Pelodiscus sinensis: one gene and its partners. The protein of the gene in region 1 purifies or fractionates together with the protein of each later gene. This does not show direct contact. Links are inferred from orthologs where the notes say so. Each region holds a gene or a part of one and is shown on either strand. Other genes may lie near its edges. The genes, in order: SIKE1, STK24 and STRN4.

Region 1 (7,100 bases):
TCTGGCGAAAAACTAAAGGTATAGTAGGAAAGTCTTTTTTTAAAAAGCAAATTCAAATATTTCTACAAATCACTTAGAGCGTAAATTATTTTTCACACAAGCCAGTACAAATGTGTTCCCTGGATAGGAAAACAATAACATAATTGTGCAGTTCCCCACGTGTCGGTTCCTCTGCCCGCGGCCCCCCGCCCCAGCGCTGCTGCCTCAGATAGGAGGGAGCAGTGTGTGTTGTGGGGGGCGGGGGAAGGAGGGTGTGCAAGTGGCTTGCAGGAGCAGACACGTGCTGGGAGCTGGCTTGAAAGCTGGATTCCTGTGTGTACAGTCTCCCACCTGCCCCCCCATACCCTCCACACTGCTGCCTGTCTATTAGAGGCAGCAGCATGTGTGTGTGGGGCTCCACGGGACCCAGTGCCTTTGGGAATCGGCTTAAAAGCCATCTCGTCACAGGCACTCCGATGCATTTCTCCCTACCCCCACCGCCTGTGTGTGTAGAATCACAGAAGACCAGAACAGGAAGGGAGCTCGAGAGGTCGGGTCTAGTTCCCTACCCTTGTGGCAGGACCCAGTATCATCTAGACCAGTGGTCCCCAACATGGTGCCCACGGGCGCCATGGCGCCTGCCAGGGCATTTATGTGCGCCCGCCGAGTGACTGGGGCCGGCTCCGCCCCTGGATGCATGAAGCATGGGCGGTGCCAGCCCCCAGGCAGACCCGGGCGCACAGCACGTGAGCGGCCCCGCCCCCGGCAGCACCAAAAGGTTGCGGACCGCTGATCTAGACCATCTCTAACAGTTGTCTATCTAACCTGTTCTTAAAGATCTCCAGAGATGAAGATTCTACAACCTCCCTAGGCAACTTATTCCAGTGTTTGACTACCCTGACAGGAAGTTTTTCCTCATGTCCAAACTAAACCTCCCTTGCTGCAGTTTAAGCCCATTGCTTCTTGTTCTATCCTCAGAGGCCAAGGAAAACAATTTTTCTCCCTCTTTCTTGTGACACCCTTTTAGATACCTGAAAGCCGTTATCAAGTCCCCTCTCAGTCTTCTCCTTTCCAAAGTAAACAAGCCCAATTCTTTCATTCTTCCTTCATAGGTCATGTTCTCTAGACCCTTAATCATTCTTGTTGCTCTTCTCTGGACCTTCTCCAATTTCTCCACATCTTTTTAAAAATGTGGCACTCAGAACTGGACACAACACTCTAAATGAAGTCTAATCAATGCAGAATAGAGCAGAAGAATGACTTCTCATGTCTTGCTCACAACACTCCTGGTAATACATCCCAGATTCAGGTTTGCTTTTTTTGCAACGGGGTCACAACTGTTGACTCATATTGAGTTTGTGGTCCACTATGACCCCTAGATCCCTTTCTGCAGTACTCCTTCCTAGACAGTTGCTTCCCATTCTGTATGTAGTCAATAAGGTTACCCAATAAACCTAGGCTTATCAGTTAATCTTGTGCTTGATTACATGTTGACATCCCTAGTGCTAACACACTATTTTGTGGTTAGAGACTCTTCACCCAAAGTGCTAGGGAAGCGCACATATCTTAACACTCAGAATAAAGTTTATTTCAGATACAGCCCAAGTTTATAACAGTAATTTACCACTATTAAAATGCACCAGCAGTACAAATTTGCATTCTCTGCATGATCCAGACTAGACTAAAGACCCTTGATTGTTTCATGAAAAATTTAAGCATAGAGCCATATGATTAATGCCTTGCAAATAAGTCAGGATCCCCTTGAACTATTTTTCATCCAAATTGCCTATCACACTCTTGGTACTGATAAATTCATGCTACATTTAACACTTTTTAGCCATGCAAGAACATAACTTTTCTTGAAACAAATCAAAACATCTCATCCTAATAACACATCTGCTGGCTAATTTACTTAGATTATGGATGCGAAAGTTTAACTGTTTACATGGTTAACCAATGAGGGGGCAGGCAGGAACTACTGCCTCCCCATATAACCACTAAAATTTTCAGCAAGTTATCCAATTACTTAAAGTAATTTTTTTTAACATCCCTAAGATATGGGAAGAAAAATCAAGCAAATACTTTCATTTCATAACTGCTTTGATGCAACATAGGTTTACCATTCTTACAGTATTGAAAAAAGATTTTACTGAAGTTCTCGCTCATCAAACCTAAATCTATGTGTGAACCAAATGTTTTCCTTTTAATCTTAGCTGCTATAAATACCCTTCAACTAAACAGCCAGAGCAGCAGATCCTTCAAGTCACACTGATCTCTGTATTTCTATATTTGAGTTCATGACCTCAGCTGCAAAGACAGCCAAGGTAAAGCTATACATGTTGTGCAGTTTAAGGTCTTGCACATTTTCACATTTGAATTTGTTTAAATAGGGATGAAATTAAGAGCTCCATAGATGCACCTTTTCAATTAATCAGAACCAAACGTTGCCAGGCTGCAGCCACCACCCTTGTATGCCAGGGAAGTGAAAGAGTAGCTGGCGATCTGGTAAGCAAGGGGAGTCCCGCTGTCCCCCTTGCTGTCTCTCAGGGAGAGGCTGGAGGAGACGGGATACTTCCCAGGGGCAGCAGGGGAGCGCCCGGCCTGCACGCGGCAGTTCACAGACAGCGCCCCGCGGAGCCGCCAGCTGATGGCAGGCCCCATGGGCCCGGCCTTGGAATGCCACGAGGAGCCCCTATGGAACCTCGCCTCCCTCGCTCCCCCGCCCTGCGCGTGGGACGGACACTGGCTGCGCGCTGCATGCCGGGAGCTGTAGTTCCCCCGCGACCGCCACACGCAGAGGCTGCCGGGAACTGTGGGCCCGAAACGGCTCCGGCCCCGCCGCTCGGGCCCACCCGCAGGGAGAGCGGGGGGAGGGGCTCTGCCCGTCCGGGACCGTTGGGCGGAGGGGGGGTGTCGCGGCCCCCGGGCCCTCCTGCCATTCGCCGAGCCCGCACTTACCCCAACAGCTCAGCGCCCCGCTCCAGCGCCGCCGCGGGCAGCACGCACAGCACGTAGGAGTAAATCCCGGCCTCTCGCGAGAGCCGCGGAGAGAAAATGCGCATGCGCGCGGAGAACTCGGGAACGCGCAAGCACAGAAAGGGAAGCCCCCCAACCTTGGGAAAGTGCGCATGCGCGCGTCCTTCCCGTCCCCGCTGGGGCAGAGGTACCTGTGCGCTTGCGCGAGAAGCGACGCTAACCAGTGAGGTGGTCGGGCCGCAGGGGGGCGCCCGTGACAGCGGCTGAGGAGCTAGACCGGTGCTAGCGGGTATTTTACACTCAGTGCCACCTAGTGGCTGAACGGTATAATGCAGTTTAGCGCTTCATTACAACAGGGTGGGTTGGGGACCCCTGGCTCATTAACGTCGGGAGGGCGACATGCAAGTGAGGAGCAAACACAAGACTCTCGGACGCGCCCCCGACTGATGAACGGGAAAAAGAGACACACTCGCCTCATGGCCTGCGGTGCCGGGGTTCCCCGTGCACGCCAGCCCCGCGAGCTCAGGGCTGGTCTCCAGCGTCAGATTCACTTTGGGAGGCCTGGGGTTTAGAGATTTATGGGCCCTTCAGGCTCTGGGGATCAGTGTGCGGGCTGAAAGAGCGAGGGTGCAGGAGTGGAATGAGGGTAGGTGGCATGTGAGTGGAAGGGGACAGGTAGGTCAGCTGTACTGTCGGGTGCTGACCAGCTCTACTCCCCACACACTACTCCTGTCATTCTCCCTCCCACCTCCACAAGCAGAGCCTGCAGGCAGGAGGCAAACCGCAGCTTGCGTGGATCCAGCCCACAAGGCTTGGTGTTTCCACCTGCCACTGCCAGCAGCACCAGTGCCTGCTCATCCTGCTGCAGAGCTCCAAGACCTGAGGGCCAAATCCAGGCAAGCTCTGGGGCAGATGTGGACTGTAGGTTTCCCATTCCTGCATTACAAGGTCCAGGAAACCATTACCGACAAAACAGAACTGAGCCCCCACACATTCTGCCCAATTGCAGAGCTCTAAAATCTCAAGGCTCAATTGGGAAAGTTTGGAAGTCCTGTCCTTCCTCACCCCCACTTTGTGCTTAGTTCAGCATTTTGTCTGTTTTAAATGATAACAAAAGGCCTTGCAATCAGGTTTGCAGAAGGCTCTTGTGTAGAGACGTTTCCTTTTTTTGGTAGCTTTTATTTCATACCTATCGTAACCAGATTAGTCCCCATTTTTTCTAACACTTGCTCTTGTGGCTTTTATTGTTGCTTGTCCTTTGCCATGAATGGTCATGGTGTTTCTCAGGATCCCAAGAAGCTTTCACAGAGACCTTTACCTTGTGATGATACACTGTAAAGATCATAAAAATAATGGTCCATTCTTCTCTACTATTTTTCATCAGACGACAAAGCACTTAATAATCTTTTAACATATTTAGCGTCACAACACCCTGTGAGATAGGAAATTATTATTATCATTTCCATAGAGAACTGAGGCTAAGTAATTTCCCTAAACTTATCTAGAAAGTCCCCAGTGGAGCAGTGGATGGCACACAAGTCTCTTATGTTGTAAGCCAGTGCCCCAACCACTGGACCATCCCTCCTACAGTCTATTTGCAATGATAGGGATAGTGGGAGACTGAGAATGTCATAAAGTTCTCCTAACTGACTATAGTTCTGGAAATTCTCTTAGGGTACATCTAGACAGCAGGGCTAAAGTTGAATTAAGCTATGCAACTTCAGCTACGTCAATAGCGCAGCTGAAGTCAAAATAGCTTAAATTGACTTTTGGCACTGTCTACACAGCTGGAAGTCAAAGGAAGAACACTCTTCCTTCGGCTTCCCTTACTCCTCATGGAAGCAGGGTTACCATGAGTTGGAGTAAGAAGTCCTCCAGTTTAACATTATTTAGAAATAAAGGCTTGTAGTGTAGACGTGCATTGTGTTATTTCGGAATAACGTGAGTTATTCCGAAATAACGCTGCTGTGTAGATGTCTCCTTAGAGACATGGTATATTTGGAGAAAGCACCAATATAACAAAAACTATGTGAAATGTAGCAGGATATGGATAGGACAGCCATGAATTACCAAAACAGTCTGCTGAAAGGTTTTCTATGATTTCACAGTTTAAAATGTTGTATTAATTGAAATGGTAGGGCTAGGGCAAGGGATTGGGAGTCAGGACTACTAGATTCATTCCTAGCTATGGAAGTTGCATGTGATCTAGTAGTTTGGAGTTAGGAATCACAGATACTGTGTTCTGTTGAAGATCCACTAGACGCTTGCTATGTGACCTTTGGCAATTCACTTCACTTCTTTCTGCCTCTGATTATGCTTCTGTGAAATGAAGATGATCCAACCTTCTTATTACACATGGTGTGGGCTAATTAGTGAATTTTTGGCATGCCTTTGAGCTCCTTGGTCAAGAAGAGGCAAGAAAGTGCAAAGTATTATTGTATTATTACATATTTAATATGTGCACATAATGACAATTTTTTCGTCTGTGTGACCTGCCCATGGAAAGAAAGAGCTCATTGACGTGGTGAATGATGCCTTTGAACCATTGGCAACACAGAAATCTAGAATTTTGGTAAGTAAAGCTATTGCTAAACACAGGTTTACAAATAATCCCATTCTGTAGGGCTGCCTAGGTGTAATTTTTGTGGAAATTTTGTGGTTATGTTCCTGCATAAAGATGACCCAAACATTTATCTGGTTTAGTTCACTTAATAGGTTGTGTATAAATACATATATTTTTTGACTGAGTCTCTTGAACTAGAAAATGTATTTTCTAAACTGTGACGGGGTGGCCCCGCCCCGCACTCAAGCCCAGGGAAACCACCTGGGGCCGGGGGCGGAGAGGGCCCCACCCACACAGCCCTACTGGGCATGCTCCAAAGGGAGCAAAGGTATAAAAGGCTGCTGGCCTGCTCAGAAGGGGCAGACTGTGACCCGAGCAGGAGCTAGCGACCACTGGCCAGAGAGGGAGTTGCCAGGGGAGCTGAGCGTGCTGCTGCCGGGCCTCTGCCGGGCTCGGCCCCAACGCCGGAGCTGCCGACCGACCCCCCATGACCCGAGCACTGGACCGGACTCTGCCAACTCTGCAGCGGCCAGGGGGAGGACCGCTACAGCCCATCGACCGACGCCGACAGGTGGGATGCGGCCGGCTGCGAGCAGGGGGTAGGAAGCGACCCAGGGCAGGGAGCTGGAGAAGCCCCTGAGGGCTCGGGGCGTTGCGGGGAGGAGCCCCCGCCGAGCCAATGGTGGGAACCACCCGAAACTACTAGGGCCCTGGGTCGGGGTCTGGTGGAGAGGGAGGGCCCGGACCCCCCTACCCCTGCTGCCTGAGACCCTGGCACGTGGGAGCAGGGTAACAAACTGCAAACTGTGGACTAGGCCTCCGGGCCTGCAAACTGAGGACTAGGCCGGGAGGCCGTATTTCCCCTAGCACAGGGGCATTGTACTTTGGGACTAGGCCGGTGGGCCGTATTTCCCCTACGAGAGGGGCAGGGTACTTTGAGGGCTAGGCCCAGACGGGCCGAGTTAGGCCCCGGATGGGGGTGGCAACCCCGAGACAGGGGCGAGCCCACTGACATAAACAAACTGAGATTTCTCAGAAAAAAGTTTCTTAGGGTTGTTCTTCCCCTACTGTACACACTGGCTACAGAAATAGCCTTGAAAAACATAATAAAAACAAACAGTCCTTTTACCATGCTTTTGTCTAGAGAAAATAAAACTTAGTGCAAATGACCACAATACATTTTCCCTAATTAAGAACGTTGAAATATAAGCAATTTTAAAATATTGTGGTTTTTTTTAAATATAGTAAATCAATTTAATCCCCGATGTAACATTCAGCTAAGGGAATTCTACTGGGATAATTTTGACTTAGTATTTACTACTTAAGCTAGTATGTAATGAATACCAATGTCAGGTAATGTTGTATATTTGTAGCAGGGCACACATCCTTGACCCAAGGGGGTTCTGGTTACTTATTTAAATACCCCCTTACACACTGTTTGATAAATTCTAGGCTGAGTTTTGTTTATCCATCATCTTATCTAATATTCCTGTTTGTTCCTTTTCACAGTAAACATCCTCCACTCAAGTTAAAATAACAGAATTTCTGTTATGCTGACTTGGTTCTTTGTTACTCATTTGCT
Region 2 (7,785 bases), on another chromosome or scaffold:
CTTCACAGTAGGAGAAATATCTGTAATGCCCTTTCTGAATGACTTGTTTCACATAAACACCAACACTTGGTCAGGAGATTTCAAGAGGGGACTTCAGAAACTAAAAGTGGATGCCAGTTTATTTTGTTCGGCAATATGCTTTTTAGGCTTACTACACCCAAAGACAGTGATAGAGTATCATGCCCTCTGAGTGAATATTGGTGATGGACTTTTTCCTCAAGTTGCCTTGGATAACAAGGCCAGGCCACTGGAAGTACACAATTGACTGTCCTACTGGAAGTGGGTCCTTAGAGAAACCTTAAACATTAATCTTTCTGCAAAGAAGAAATACCTTTTTGTACTTGATATATTAAAACTCACTGCAGCTGATTTACTGTAAAAAAACTAGATATTTTCAAAGAAAAATAAAATCCAAGAGATAAGTAAAGCTTGTAACCAAAGCACCAACCAAAACCCAAACAGGATCTCTCAGCCTTTACTTAAGGCTATTCTACTAAACACCTTCTGCAAATAGGTCACAAGTTAGCAAATTAATTTTTTGATCCATTCAGGTAAAAAATAGGATAAAGTTTAAACAAAACTCCATGTTTAAAAAGCATACTTCTACAAAATTGTTGTGACAAAATTGTTAAAATGTGGTAAAAGTTGGTACTGAGTTGTTTCTAGTAGTTTTATGCCAATTTTTATTATGTTTTAAATGTATTCTCAAGTTGAACAATAAACTAAGAGTGAAAATATTCTAAGTTTAAATTGATCTAAATATACCACTGCTAGACCTGAATGTCACCAGTAACAAGTCTGTTACTTAAAGTTTCATTTCTTCCTGTCACTAAGTGACAAAACAGACACGTACTATTTTATTCTTCAGGTAGGTCTGGAAGCAAACTCTTTACAAACTATAAACAGTTCACTCGTTTTAGGGTTTAAAGGGAGAAAATATTTCCTCTTCCATTGAAAAACTATTCTTCTATTCAACCTCAATTTTTTATGACAAGGACATCAGTAGAGCAACATTTTTAACTGTAAAACACACACAGAAAAGCATATTCTTACTTTTAAATAGGATCCATAATACTTGGTTACATAAGGACTGTCACACTGACTCAAAACTGTGATTTCTTGCTGGATGTCCTCTATTTCATCTTCTGCTTCTTCTAGATCAATAATTTTTATAGCAACCACTTTCTGAGTCCAATTGTCAATTCCCTTAAAAACTTCACCAAAAGAACCCTTGCCAATTTTCTCCAGTTTTGTGAACAGTTCTTCTGGATCCGCTTTTATATTCTGTTAAATTTATAAAAAGAAAAAGATACTCAATACTTGCTTTCAGTGTTACAAACAAATATGTTAACATTTCTAAAGACAAAGATTAATGACTTTGTGCAGCTCATTAGAACTAAGGATTTAAAAGACAGTGTAATTTGTTAACTGGTTAAAGGTGAAATTTATTTCACCTTTAACCAGTTAACAAATTAAACGGGCCACTCCAACCTGTTGTGCTGGAATTCCCTTCTTCCCCCCCTTAAGTGTTTGAAAAACTGGGTACTAGATATTCAGCTAGCGACCACAGAGCCTAATGTGTTCAAAAGGTTTAAATTACAGTTCCTGCAAGAAACATGATACAATGAAATCTGTCATATCTTTTTTAATTAAAATTAATCCATGACATAGTCAGATAGAATTTTACAACTTATTTCCTCGTTTTAAACAATTACCAGACATACGGAACACCTAAGCATATTTTTCTGAATAATAATGAGTAATTTTAAGGGTCTCCAGAGGAGATGGATGACTTTGCACAGTACATAAAAGTCAGGAGCCCTCCAGGTCACAACAACAACTGATTTGAGTGCACACTGTCTGTAGGTGGAAGGGAGAACATTGTGCATGTGTAGTACATGCCAGGGTTAACAGTTTAAGTCTTTCCCATTAATATTTCCCCTATGCTTTTGCAAGTACACAGTCTTCTATAGATATATGAATGGGTATTTTCAATTAAAATCTCTAGGCTATGCTAGCTCCCCCCCCAAAAAAAAAAGACCTGAATTAGTGCATGAGATAGATGAAACACTAACCAGAAATAAATTTACTTTAAAGCCACACCAAGCATAAAACATTTCAATCCCAAAAGGTAATTTGAGGAAGTTATAAGGAAATAAAAAAAGAAGGCTGGGCCTCAAAGTGGCATGTCATGAAGTAGCATCCAAGCTCTATTAAAGATACATGGGGTCCAATTAGAACAATACACAAACACTGACAGTTTTAAGGTTTCTCTGCGAGGGCTTTGTTATTTTATTTGAACTAATAATAAGACAAAGACAGACAAAGTAGGCAGGGATGCCTAGCCCAGGGATCATGAGCCCCTTGACAATTATTCAGAAACACATACCGGCCCTAACTAAGCAATTCACATGACAAAACAACCTCCACCCCCTCCTCCTCCCAAAGCGCATCCTGCAGGGCAACGCTTTTGCACTGCAGGGAGGGGTTGTGTTTCCAAAGTCAACGAGCCTCCCCCCCTTCGGGCGGCCTCTGGCTCTCCCGGAGCAAGGAAGGGAGCCAGGCGCACGGCCCAAGCACCTCCGCCTTGATTTAGCCAGGCGCTGGCAAAGCCGTTTGTTTCCCAATGACCGCCCCCACCCCGGGCACGGGCACTGATGGGCGGTGCCAGAGCAAAGTGGCTTTTCCCGGCAGCGGCACGACCGCCCCGAGGACCCCCAGCCGCACACGGGCCGCAGAGGCGGAACCTGGCAGCCCCCCCGCCCGCGGGCGTTTCCAGCAGTGCCGGGGCCCGCACGCCTCCCCTCCAGGCAGTTTATGCCGCAACCCCCGCCCGGGCGGGGCCAGAGTCTCACCGGCATCTCCCGCAGGCCGGGCTGCACCGGGGACTGAGTCATGGCGGCGCCGACGCGCGCTCCTCGGGGCTCTGCTCAGGCGGCTCTAGCGACTGGAATCAGCTCCTCGCCCCCTCCCCCACGCACGACTCGCCGAGCGTCTGCGGGCGGGAGCTCCCTGGCGCTCCTCGCCCCGCCCCGCTTCAGGTCCCGTCAGAGACTCAGCGTCGAACCCGAGCTCCCCATTCCCCTGCGCCGCGCGCGTAGAGCGGTCGTTACCGGTCCCGCGCGAAGGGGGGAGGAGGGGGCTGCTAACGTAACGCAAACCAGCTCGGGCGAGGGACAACGGCCGCCGTGCAAGGGGCGCGCGCGCTCTCGCCCCGCCCCCGAATGCCGGTAGCGGCACGAGGCGCTTGCCGGGCTTCGCGCCCGGATGATGGTGACCGGTCCGGGCTCGCGCAGATCCCCGCCGCCCTGCAGCTGCCAGCGGTGAATCGCCGCGGGAGGGGAGGTCGCGCCCGCGGGGGGTGTCTCGCGTGAGCGGTGTCTGGCCTTCGGGGCCGCGCGCGCGAGGGGCATGTGCCCCCGAAGACGGCTGGGGAGCGGTGTCTGGGGCAGTGTCCTGTGTCTGAGGGGGGCTCACTGGCGAAGGCAGGGCGTAGTGTTCCCTTGTCGTGAGTATCCGCCTAGGGCTGGAGCCTGAGCACAATGCGCAAAAACACCTACACCAGACATTGTGCTAACCTGCACCCTACTGCCATTTGGTCCCTTTTATCTGACATGCTGCAGTGATGTGCATTGGATTTACCTCACTGGCTTGGGAGCTCTTTCTCTAGATTGCCAACTAGCAAGTGAGAGAACTGCCAATGAGCCATTTGAGTAACTCTGACCTGTTATCAATATTTTTTCATCACACCCAGGGGCGGCCCTAGACTAGCTGCTAGCAACTGGCATCCTAGGCGAACCAAGCAATCGGCGCCTCCAACCCCAAGGGCAGATATAGACTGAGGTTTTTGGTTCTGTGGCTGGAGCCAAGGGGGCCGGGGATGGAGATCTGTGGCTGGGGAAAAGGGAGAGGGAACAGGGTACCAGTGGGGGGAGAGAGTCCCCTGCAACCGCCTCCTCCCCCAGAGGGAAGCTGGCACACGCCTCTCCTGGGACGACCCCCCTCGCTTCCGCGGCACAGGGGAAGCTGTTGCCTGCCTCCCCCAGGGCCGACCCCCCTCCTGTGGTGCGCCTCCTCCCCCGGGGCCGACCTGCTCCTCCCTCGGCATGGGGAACCCCTATGTACTGCTTCCCCCAGGGCCGACCCCCCCCCCTGCAGCCAGAGAACCCCCACATGTGCCTCTCCCAGGGCCGACCCCCCACCCCCTCCGCAGCGCAGGGGAGGCCGGCACGTGCCTACCCCGGGGCCAACCCCTCTCCTCCCGTACTGCGGGGAAACCCACGTGCGCCTGTTCCCCCGGGGTTGATCCCCCCTCTCACGGTGCAAGGAACCCCTGCGCATTGCCTCCCCTGGGGCCAACTCCCCACGCTCCTCCTCCGGGACCGACTCACCCCTCCTGCGGTGCAGGGAAGCCGCACTCCTCCTCCAGTGCTGAAGTCAGGCGTTGGGGGAAGGGGAAGTGGCAGGGAATTTGGCGCCCCATTTAACTTGGCGCTCTAGGCAGCTGCCAGGTTTGCCTATAGGCACGGGCTGCCCCGATCACACCAGTCATTTGTTATAACCTCACCTATGCAGAGGATATCATGCACACACAGAGGAGTTGATTTCCCTTTCACACCACTGTAAGACTGGGTCTAAATGTAAAAATTGAATTGATCTGTTTGTCCACATGTGGAAAAGCACACCTCCACTGTAGGACTTACCTGCATTGCTGAAAGAATGCTTCTGTAGATATAGGAGATGACACCATCACTCAGGGAGATGATGTTTCTATATCAATAGAAAATCTTTCAGTCAGTGTACGCTGCATCTGTATTATGGTGTTATGATAGCATAGCTACCACAACACACAAAAAAACAACAAAAGGTCTGGTAGCACTTTATAGACTAACGCAGTTAGACCCCTGTGGGGTCACGACGAATTTACAGAGGGGTTGCAGCTGGATCCGGTTTTTTTCTTGAAAGAATGTGTCTCTCTCCACATGTAAAAAAAACATGAAATACCGGACAGAAGCCCAGCAGGGGCAATTTTACCCTGCCTCATATGGCAGGGGCGGGGAGTGAGGAGCGCTGCAGAGTCTAGTGAAAGGGGGGCAGGAGGGAGCAGTCACCAGGCGCCACGTTGGGGGGGTGCCAGAGCGTGCGCTGCTCTGGCCAACGTGAGCAGCAGAGTCCGACAGCTGGCCACATGATGCTCCTGAGTCATGCTGTGAGCTGAGGCGGCCGGGCCGGGCTGGGCTTCAAGAGCAGCCACTTTGAAAGTAAGAGTTTCCTCGTGCCTGGCTCTGCAGTGGTGGGGGGGAGATTAGATTGGAGCATGCTCCGGGACTCTGAGGATGCCTCTCAGAGGGAGGAGGGAGTGCACTGGGATGGGGGGGTGCTGGGAGGCCTGCCTCAGGTGGAGGGGGGAGTGCACTGGGATGGGGGGGGATGAGGGCCTGGCTCAGGGAGGGCTGGGTGCAGTCCCAAACTGGACAAAGTGGTGCAACTTTTGCTTAACGACTTTTGCTTCCACCCCCCCCCCCCTTTTTCTTTTTTTTGCTTAACAACTTTGGTGAGGGTGCGGGGTGTCACACATTCATTTAGCATTTTAGGGGGTCGTGGTATCACAAAGTTTGAGAACCCCTGGACTAACAAAACATGTAGATCCGTGGTCACTAACAGGTTGATCGCGATTGACTGGTCGATCATGAGGCCTCGACCAGTCAATCGCGCCCCCATTTCCCTCCCACCCTCAAGAAGCCCCACTACCTACCTCAAGTGAAAATGGAGGTAATGTCGACTTCCCTGGGATGGACAGAAGTCCTGCAGCTTAGCGCCACTTCCGACGATTCTGGAAGTGCGCTAGCTGCTCTGCCAGGTGTACTGCGGAAGGGAGCATTGGCTCACTGCACCGCACAGGAGGAGTGAGTCAGCCCCGGGGCAGGCGCGCGGGGGGTGGGGGTCGGCCCCGGGGTAGGCATGCGTGGGGGTTCCCTGCGCCGGGGGGGGTCTGTGCGCAGGGCTTCCCTGTGCCGGGGGGGGGGTTGACCCCAGGGCAGGCACACGCAGGACTTCCCTGCGCCGGGGGAGCGTGTGAATTGGGCCCCGAGGAGGCACATGCTGGCTTCCCGTGGGGGGGGGGGGGGGGGGAGAATCCTGGGAGGTGGCAGATGCAGGGGACTCTCTGCTTCCACTGCCCCCCTCCTCCTGTTCCCATTGCCCCATTCCCACTCCCCACTGCCCAGTTCCCTCTCCCCAGCTACCGAACTCTGTCCCAATTCCCATCCCCACTTTTTGAACTCTGTCCCCATTCCCCTGTCCCGATCCACAGAACCCTGTCCCCACTGGCACCCTGTCCCCTGCCAAAGCACCCACTAGCACCCTTCCCCAGTACTATGTCCCCTGTTCCCACCAACACAGTTGGGACCACATTAGTGAAGCTTAGGGGGGGTGAAGGAGGGTTTTTTTGCATCTCACTTGTGTGGCCCCAACTGACTTTTCTTGGGTCAATGACCCCTGACTCAAGAAAGGTTCCCTGCCCTTCTGAGAAATAAAGAAAATGCAGAAACTTTTTGTTTGATACACTATTTGATTTAAAAATGAAGCCTAGCCAACAAACCCCAAACTGGGGCTAAGAACCCATCTGGCCACAGCATCATAACACTCCTGCGCTTACCTTTCCCCCAGACCCTACATCGGAGCCTATCATACACTGGAAACCCCTGTCCTGAGCCCCTCACATACCTCAACCCAAATTCCTGAACCCTCACATCCAGAAGTCTGTGGCTTGCTTAGTACCCTAACCCTACACTGCCCGGCCTGGCGCCCTCTCCTCAAGCCAGTGTCCTCTTATCCACCTTCTCCTACATCCAGATTTCCTCCCAGAACTTGCACCTCTCACCCCTTCCCACACCCAAATCCTTCATTCCCACTCTAGAGCCTACACATTCTGTCTCAACCCAGCAAGGTTACGGCTAGACTGCAGGAGTTTTTCAGGATTCCGGAGATATCCCAGAAAAACTCTTCTGTATCCACAGATGCATTTGTTCTTCCACTTCTTTTAGTGGAAGAGCAAACATGATCTTTCGGTCACCTCTATATTCCTCTTTCCACAAGGAATAAGGGGGCTTCCAAAAGAAGGGGTTTTTCTGACATTTGGTCCGGTCTAGACAGGCCAAATGTTGGAAAAACCTCTTCCTACAGAAGAATTGGGGAAAAAAGCAGCGGTATAAGGGTTGGGGATAGCAAGTGATGGAGAGGAGGAGAATAGAGAGGGTGGAGCTTCAAGGAAGGGGCGGGGTGGTAGATCTTGGCTTGTTCTGTCATTTAAGAAGTGATCTTGGGTGTGAAAAGGTTGGAGACCACTTACGTAGATGGTATCATGAGCTTTGGTGGGCACATGATACCATCTACATGTTTCGTTAGTCTATAAGGGTATGTCTACACTCGCCACCCTAGTTCGAACTAGGGTGGTTAATGTAGGCAACCGGAGTTGGAAATGATGCCCGGGATTTGAATTTCCCAGGCTTCATTTGCATATTGCCGGGCGCCACCATTTTTAAATGTCTGCTAGTTCGGACTCCGTGCCCGCGGCTATACGTGGCACGAACTAGGTAGTTCGGACTAGGCTTCCTAGTCCGAACTACCGGTACACCCCGTTCCACAGTACTAGGAAGCCTAGTCCAAACTACCTAGTTCGTGCCGCGGGTAGCCGCGGGCACGGAGTCCGAACTAGTGGACATTTAAAAACAGCGGCGCCCGGCAATATGCAAATGAAGCCCGGGAAATTCAAATCCCGGGCTT
Region 3 (7,955 bases), on another chromosome or scaffold:
CCCCAGACACACCTTGCTTTTATCAGCAATTCCCTTTCCTGTTCCACTCATAATCCCTCCTACACAGCTCTCCTCAGCCTCGCCCTCCAGACTCAAGTCACAGTGCTGCTCTTCTAGTAGCTTAATCTCATTTAACTCCCCAGCCCTCTTCGGTTTTACAATCCCTCGCCTGGTACCTAGAACTCAGTCCCATCCATTGCCTTTCAGGCCACTGCTTGCATCAAACCCTGCTGTGTGGTCTGGTTCAATTCCCCTTGCTACATAGACCAGCTATTATAAACCAGCCCATATACAAGCAGGTACCCTAAAAAGCAGAAGTTTATGCCTTACATCCATAGCAGCCATTTGGATCCTGAAATCTGAGACCTTCTGGAGATGTTTTACAGCCTGCAACATGCTTCCAGCCTGGCAGATGATAAACTACTACTCTTCACCTCTTCCACCCGTTCGCCATGTGAAAACAGGGCATCAAAGTGAAGTTGGCAAGATCGGGTCAATTTTATTCACCTCTCTCCTGTGCCCTGCAAACCCATCAGTGTTTAAGAAGATAGTAACTCTCTCACCCAGGTGCTGATGGGTTGCACCATTCAAAGGTCCCTGGCTCACTGCCCCTCTCGAGGGGGGCTTGAGAAAGTGCCATTTGGGACAGGGCATTCCCTTGACATCTTCAGCACCTACTTCCATCCCAACCAATTCATCCTTCCATCCCTGTGGAGCTGAATTCACCCATATTACTAACCTCAGATCCATTGGCTGTGGCTGCTCACGGAAGTTAATAAAATGCTTCACAGCCCTAATCCCTGGGCAATCCTAGCATGGTTGTTTGGGGAGATTTCTGGTTCCTCACATCCAAATGCCATCTCCAGAGCTACTGGGGAAGAACAGCCCTGCTAGTCTTCATACCCTAGCAGGGAGATCACCATCCCCTGCTCCTTAAAACATATGCAGCTGGGAGAGTGATATTCCCTTGGCACCAAACACCAATAACTGGGAAGCTGCTCCTCTTGACCAGACCCAGTGAGGCTACCCAGGGAAGCGACCTCCCTGCAGCTCTCTACTAGGATATGATGGCAGTGTCCCACCTCAACCCCATATCCCCACCACCAGCTATTACCGGTCTGAGTATTTGCTGTCCGCTCTCCCTTCTTCCTTAGTTGCCATGGGGTTGACAGATGCATATCCTTACCCCAGTTCTTCCCCTGTCCGTACTGGGAGGCAATGACTACATTTCTCCCCTTGTCACCTCCATTCCCTCTTCAATCCCTCTTGGGAAGCATCAATTATTTCCTGGCCTGGCCCCAATAATCACCCCAACTCCACTGCTAGTTGCTATGGGGTTGAAAACTGTATTTCTTACCATCACCCCAATTCCTTCACTGGTCACTAAGGAGAGAATGACAGTCGTGTTTCTCCCCCAGTTCACCCCAATTCCTATTAAAGGGTAACAGATACAAAAGCCCAACACATTAATTCCTTCCCTCAGTGTTATGGGGAGGCAACTGTCACATACCCCTCTCCTCCCCCCAGTCCGCTTCATTCCTTCTTGGACAGGAATGCTCAACACCCTAATTACAACTGAGGGGTGCCAACTTTGGGGGGGGAAGGATCCCAATACCTCCCCCATTCCGTATCCCCCTCTAATCACTCACCTCCAACTTGTCCCTTCAGCTCCCAGTCTCTACCCAGGTCTACGCCCCCTCTCCCTGTCAGGGGGTCAGCCCAATTCTGTGACGGGGTCCTGAAATTTCCCAATCCCCCCAGGGGGGGGATCCCAGTACTGGGTGAGCCTCTGACACTCCCTTTTTCCTCTTATGGGAAGTCCATCAGTCCTGGGGATCCTGATACTCCCTCTCCATGGAGGTTCCCACCCATGTTCCTGGGGGGGAGGTGACCCTCCCCCCATAGGGCTTCCCCAGTCCTGGGGGCCCTATCACTCCAATTTCGGCCTCCACCGGGAGTCCCCCAGACCTGGAATGCCTTGACACTCCTCCTATGCCCCCAGGGAGTCCCCCAGTCCTGGGGGGGTCCCCTGACACTCCCCCTTTCCCCCCATGGGGCTCCCCCAGTCCTGGGGGGCCCTGACACTCCCCCTTTCCCCCCATGGGGCTGCCCCAGGCCTGGGGGGGGCCTGACACTCCCCCCCATGGGGCTCCCCTAATGCTGGGGGGGCCCTGACACTCCTCTTCCCCCCCCACGGGGCTCCCCCAATGCTGGGGGGGCCCTGACACTCCTCTTCCCCCCCCCACGGGGCTCCCCCAATCCTGGGGGGGCCCTGACACTCCTCTTCCCCCCCCACGGGGCTCCCCCAATCCTGGGGGGGGCCTGACACTCCTCTTCCCCCCCACGGGGCTCCCCCAATCCTGGGGGGGGCCTGACACTCCCCCTCCCCCCCACGGGGCTCCCCCAATCCTGGGGGGGGCCTGACACTCCCCCTCTCCCCCACGGGGCTCCCCCAATCCTGGGGGGGCCTGACACTCCCCCTCCCCCCCACGGGGCTCCCCCAATCCTGGGGGGGCCTGACACTCCCCCTCCCCCCCACGGGGCTCCCCCAATCCTGGGGGGGCCTGACACTCCCCCTTCCCCCCCACGGGGCTCCCCCAATCCTGGGGGGCCCTGACACTCCCCCTCCCCCCACGGGGCTCCCCAGTCCTGGGGGGGGCCCTGACACTCCCCCTCCCCCCCACGGGGCTCCCCCAATCCTGGGGGGGGTTCTCCCCCCCCGCGGGGTCCCGTCGGCCATTTCCCTCCAAGATGGCGGCAGCGGCGGAGGCAGCGGCGGCCCCGGTAACCCCCCGCGGCTCCCCGCGCCCGGCCCGGCCCCGGCACCTGCAGCTCGGCCCGCTCGGCCTCCCAGCGGCTCTTCTCGGCCTCGAAGCGGGCCCACTCGTGCTGGATGTAGTGCAGGATGCCGGGCAGGCTCAGCTCGCCGGGCCCGGAGCCCGCGGCCGGCCGGCCCGGGGCCTGCGGCGGGGGGGGCGGCGGCTCGGCCCCCGCCGGGCCCGGGGCCTGCTGGGCCCGCACCAGCACCCGCTCAGCCTCCATCATGGATCCCGGCGGCTGCCACATAGGGAGCCGCGCGGGGGGGCACTTCCTGCCAGATAGTGATCCGCCAGGAAATGGGGCCCGCGCCGCGGGACGGGGGCAGGGAGGGGTTCCCATGGCAACGCGCCCCCCCTCCTCTCCGCGGCAGGCTCGCTCCCCCCTCCGAGCGGAGGGTTTCCCCTGGCAACGGGCCTCTCCAGGTAGGCTGCTTCCCCCAGCAGGGGGTTCCCATGGCAACGCCCCTTCCAGGTAGGCTGCTACCCCCCTCTGAGTGTGGGGTTCCCATGGCAACGCCCCTTCCAGGTAGGCTGCTTCCCCCCTCTGAGTGTGGGGTTCCCATGGCAACGCCCCTTCCAGGTAGGCTGCTTCCCCCCTCTGTGTGGGGTTCCCATGGCAACACCCCTTCCAGGTAGGCTGCTTCCCCCCTCTGAGTGTGGGGTTCCCATGGCAACACCCCTTCCAGGTAGGCTGCTTCCCCCCCTCTGAGTGTGGGGTTCCCATGGCAACGCCCCTTCCAGGTAGGCTGCTACCCCCCTCCGAGTGTGGGGTTCCCATGGCAACGGTCCTGCTCCGGTAGGCCTGCGACCCACCCCCACAGCAGGGAGTTCCCATGGCAACGTCCCCTCCCATTCCCCCCCCCCAGGAATATCCACCCCCCCAGCAGGAGGTTCCCATGACAGCACCTCCCCCAGAGCAGGCTTGCTTCCCCCTTGGCAACCACATCCTCCAGGTAGGTCTGCTTGTCCCCCCCCCCCCCCCGGAAGTGGGGGGTGGTTTCCATGGCAACAGGTCCCTTCACCTGCCCCACAGCCAGAGCAAGGAGAAGGGTTCCAGGGGCCCCCCAGAATAGGCCTGCAAGGAGAGGGGTTCCTATGGTAACAGCGCCCCCCTCCAACCTCCCACCTTGCAGGCTGGGTTCATCCCACCCGGAGCAGGGAGAGGGCAGCTCCCATGACAGTTCCCCCTCATAGCCTGGTTCAAATGCCCCCCCCCCCAACAGCCAGGGACGGGTTCCCATGGTAACACCTCCCATGCCTCACACCCCACTCAAATTAAAGTGGGTACCCCAGTCAAGTTCCCTCTAGAATAGGGTCTCTTCTCTGCCCTATCCCAAAAGCAGACAGTGAGCAGTTCCCATTTCAGCAGGGGGTCTTGATCAGGGCCCACTCCAGGGAGGCTTCTCCTACCCACCCACAGCAAACAAGTAGAGGTTCCCATAGCACAAGGCTCCTCACCACTGCAAGTACAGTCACCTCCACCCAGGACTGCATAGGCCACCCCAATGACAGGCCGCCTCCTTCCCAGATCATGCTCCTTCCCAAAATACTGTTCTCTCTGCCCCCCAGGGTAGATCCCTTCTCAGCACAGAGTTGAGACTTCAGTCTGGTTTGGAGGAAGGCAAATAAAATCTGCCTCCTCTCCCTAGCCATAATGCTGGAGTATTTCATCCATTGCCGTAGCTCCATACTGGCCCCTATTCAGAGCAGTTACTGTCCTTTCAACTATTCAGTGGTCACCATTTTCTTTCCCCATCTACATCTTTATCTGGAGCAACTGCTAGCCTTACCCCAAATCCTCCATTGCTTGGTAGTCAGCTTTATCAGTGTGCTTCTCTCCTTCCTTCCCCCCTCACTTCTATCCCAGTCACTTCAGGATCCTTGTTGATTGTCACAGAGTTGTCATACCTGGTCAGAGCGCGACCAGGAACAGGTAACAGGAGAGTTTGGAGAGGGAGTTCTCCAGGGAAAAGAGGAGTAAAAATGGGACCCTTGTGGTAAGTGGCTGTCTGGAGTGTGTGTTGTGTGGGGGGGAGTTATTTGCAGTGTGCTGAGCTTGTGTTTGTCTGGTTTGTTTGCTTTGTTTGTTTGAAGGAGCTTCTAAAAGGTTTGAAATCTAGAAGCCTCTGTTAATTGGCTGAGCCTCAGTCAGGGGGAGGGGCTACCAGAGCTATATAAGCCTGTGACTCAGCGACCTGGGAGAGCACGGAGAGTGCGACCAGGAACAGGTAACAGGAGAGTTTGGAGAGGGAACTTAGAGGGAACTAGTGACTTGTGTCCTTCTTTAAAACCTAACTCTTAGAATAATCTATACTCCAGAAGTTTTAAAAGAATCCCAGTTTGTACTTAAACTTATTCATTACAAACATGGAGACAGAAGCCCAGCAGCAGAGTGGGGGCTATCCTGTTTATTGCATCGAGTGTAATATGTATGATTACCTGCCCTGTGGGCGGGTGGCGTATGTGTGCACCCGTTGCAAGGAGCTCCTGACCCTCAGACCGAGTTCGGGCTTTGGAGGACAGGGTGGCTGAACTGGAGGAGCTAAGGGAGGTAGAGAGCTTTGTTAATGAGACTTTCTGGGACACTGTAGTACTGTCCCACCTCCAGTCTGAGAGCCCCAGTGTTCTTAAGGAGGATGAAAGTCTCAAGGGAACAGAGCATTTAATGGGAGCAGAGGGAAACCATCCCATAGTTGGGACCCTCCTCCCAGAGGATGTTGCGGTATCCTCTCGCACTGAGGATGCCTCTGAGGGGGAGGGAATGCCAGTTAGGAAGAGGCAGGTGTTAGTAGTGGGTGATTCGATCGTTAGAAACATAGATAGTTGGGTTTGTGATGACCGGGAGAACCATATGGTCACTTGCCTGCCTGGTGCGAAGGTTGCGGATCTCTCGAGGCATCTAGATAGACTTATGTGTAGTGCTGGGGAGGAGCCTGTGGTCGTGGTACATATAGGTACCAATGACGTAGGGAAGGGTAGGAGAGATGTCATGGAGGCCAAATTTAGGCTGCTAGGAAAGAGACTGAAATCCAGGACCTCTATGGTGGCGTTCTCGGAAATGCTTCCGGTCCCACGCGCAGGGCCAGGTAGGCAGGCAGAGCTTCAGAGTCTCAATGCGTGGATGAGACGATGGTGTAGGGAAGAGGGGTTTGGATTTATTAGGAACTGGGGACACTTTTGGGAGAGGGGGAGCCTATACAGGAAGGATGGGCTCCACCTAAACAAGGGTGGAACCAGACTGCTGGCACTAAACATTAATAAGGCCGTAGAGCAGTTTTTAAACTAAGAGATGGGGGAAAGCCGATTGGTGCGGAGATGCATGTAAATCGGAGAGAGACTTCTCTTAGAGGAGAATCCGTTGATAGAGATTCTCTAAGCTGTAGTCGGAAAGAGAGGAGGGGAGAGGGCAAACCATGGGCCAGAGCTGACAAACAACCGCATAAAAGGAATCCAATGCATCAGGGAAGGGCAGACAAATAACCAGTGGCAAATTTTTAAAGTGCTTGTACACAAATGCTAGGAGTCAGACTAATAAGCTGAGTGAACTAGAGTACCACGTATTAAAGGAGGAGATAGACATAATAGGCATCACTGAAACCTGGTGGAATGAGGAAAATCTGTGGGACACAATCATACCGGGATATAAAATATATAGAAAGGATAGAGCAGGCCGGGTGGGTGGCGGAGTGGCACTATATGTGAAAGATAATGTAGAATCAAATGAAATAAAAATATTAAATGAATCAACATGTTCCATAGAATCGCTATGGATAGAAATTCCATGCTCCAATAATAAGAAATTAGCAGTAGGGATATATTACCGGCCACCTGACCAGGACAGCGATACTGACATAGAAATGCTGAGGGAGATTAGAGAGGCTACCAAAATAGAGAACTCTATAATAATGGGGGATTTTAATTACCCCCATATTGACTGGATACATGTCACCCCAGGAAGAGAAGCAGAGATGAAAATAATTTCTCAATGGCTTAAATGACTGCTTCTTGGAGCAGCTAGTGCAGGAACCCACAAGGGGAGAGGCAATTCTCGATTTAGTCCTGAGTGGAGTGCAGGATCAGGTCCAGGATATAACCGTTACAGGACCGCTTGGGAATAGTGACCATAATATAACAACATTCAACATTCCTGTGGTGGGAAGAACACCTCAGCAGTCCAGCACCCTGGCATTTAATTTCAAAAAGGGGAATTACACAAAAATGAGGAGGTTTGTTAAACAGAAATTAAAAGGCACAGTGACTAGAGCCAAATCCCTGAAAGCTGCATGGAAACTTTTTAAAGACACCATAATAGAGGCCCAACTTAAATGTATACCCCAAATTAAAAAACATAGCAAGAGACCTAAAAAAGAGTCACCGTGGCTTAACCACCATGTAAAAGAAGCAGTGAGGGACAAAAAGGTATCTTTTAAGAAGTGGAAGTCCAATCCTAGTGAGATAAATAGAAAGGAACATAAACACTGTCAAATCAAGTGTAAACATGTAATAAGAAAAGCAAAAAAAGATTTTGAGGAACAGCTAGCCAAAAACTCAAAAAGTAATAACAAAATGTTTTTTAAGTACATTAGAAGCAGGAAGCCTGCTAAAAAGCCTGTGGGTCCCCTAGATGATCGAGCTATAAAAGGAGCAATCAAGGACGAAAAAGCCATTGCGGAGAAACTAAATGATTTCTTTGCTTCAGTCTTCACGGCTGAGGACGTTGGGGAGATTCCTGAATCTGCACCGTCCTTTGTGGGTGATGAATCTGAGGAACTGTCCCGGATTGAAGTGTCATTAGAGGAGGTTTTGGAACAAATAGAAAAACTTAATGTTAACAAATCTCCGGGACCGGATGGCATTCATCCAAGGGTTCTAAAAGAACTTAAATGGGAAATTGCTGAGCTATTATCTGTGGTTTGTAACCTATCCTTTAAATCGGTTTCCGTACCTAATGACTGGAAGGTAGCCAACGTGACACCAATATTTAAAAAGGGCTCTAGAGGCGATCCTGGCAATTACAGACCGGTAAGTCTAACTTCAGTACCGGGCAAATTTAGTCGAAACAATAGTAAAGAATAAAATTGTGAAGCATGTAGAAGAACATAATTTGTTGGACAAAAGTCAACATGGTTTCTGTAA

Evidence for each region.
Region 2: the proteins of SIKE1 (region 1) and STK24 purify together in Homo sapiens (affinity purification with mass spectrometry; 4 studies listed by BioGRID and IntAct, with this or other methods). This does not show direct contact. The link is inferred for Pelodiscus sinensis from reciprocal best matches to the Homo sapiens genes SIKE1 and STK24.
Region 3: the proteins of SIKE1 (region 1) and STRN4 purify together in Homo sapiens (affinity purification with mass spectrometry; 3 studies listed by BioGRID and IntAct, with this or other methods). This does not show direct contact. The link is inferred for Pelodiscus sinensis from reciprocal best matches to the Homo sapiens genes SIKE1 and STRN4.

What each region holds. Positions count from the first base shown.
Region 1 is NC_134737.1:578,225-585,324, reverse strand, and holds the start of SIKE1 (suppressor of IKBKE 1), read right to left. Parts: upstream 3,097-7,100; 5' UTR 2,938-3,096; intron 1-2,937.
Region 2 is NC_134711.1:249,514,330-249,522,114, reverse strand, and holds the start of STK24 (serine/threonine-protein kinase 24), read right to left. Parts: upstream 3,053-7,785; 5' UTR 2,898-3,052; coding exon 2,856-2,897; intron 1,285-2,855; coding exon 1,054-1,284; intron 1-1,053. UniProt on the Homo sapiens protein: Serine/threonine-protein kinase that acts on both serine and threonine residues and promotes apoptosis in response to stress stimuli and caspase activation.
Region 3 is NW_027465849.1:5,732,642-5,740,596, reverse strand, and holds the start of STRN4 (striatin-4), read right to left. Parts: upstream 3,067-7,955; coding exon 2,827-3,066; intron 2,785-2,826; exon of another isoform or gene 2,734-2,784; intron 1-2,733. UniProt on the Homo sapiens protein: Calmodulin-binding scaffolding protein which is the center of the striatin-interacting phosphatase and kinase (STRIPAK) complexes.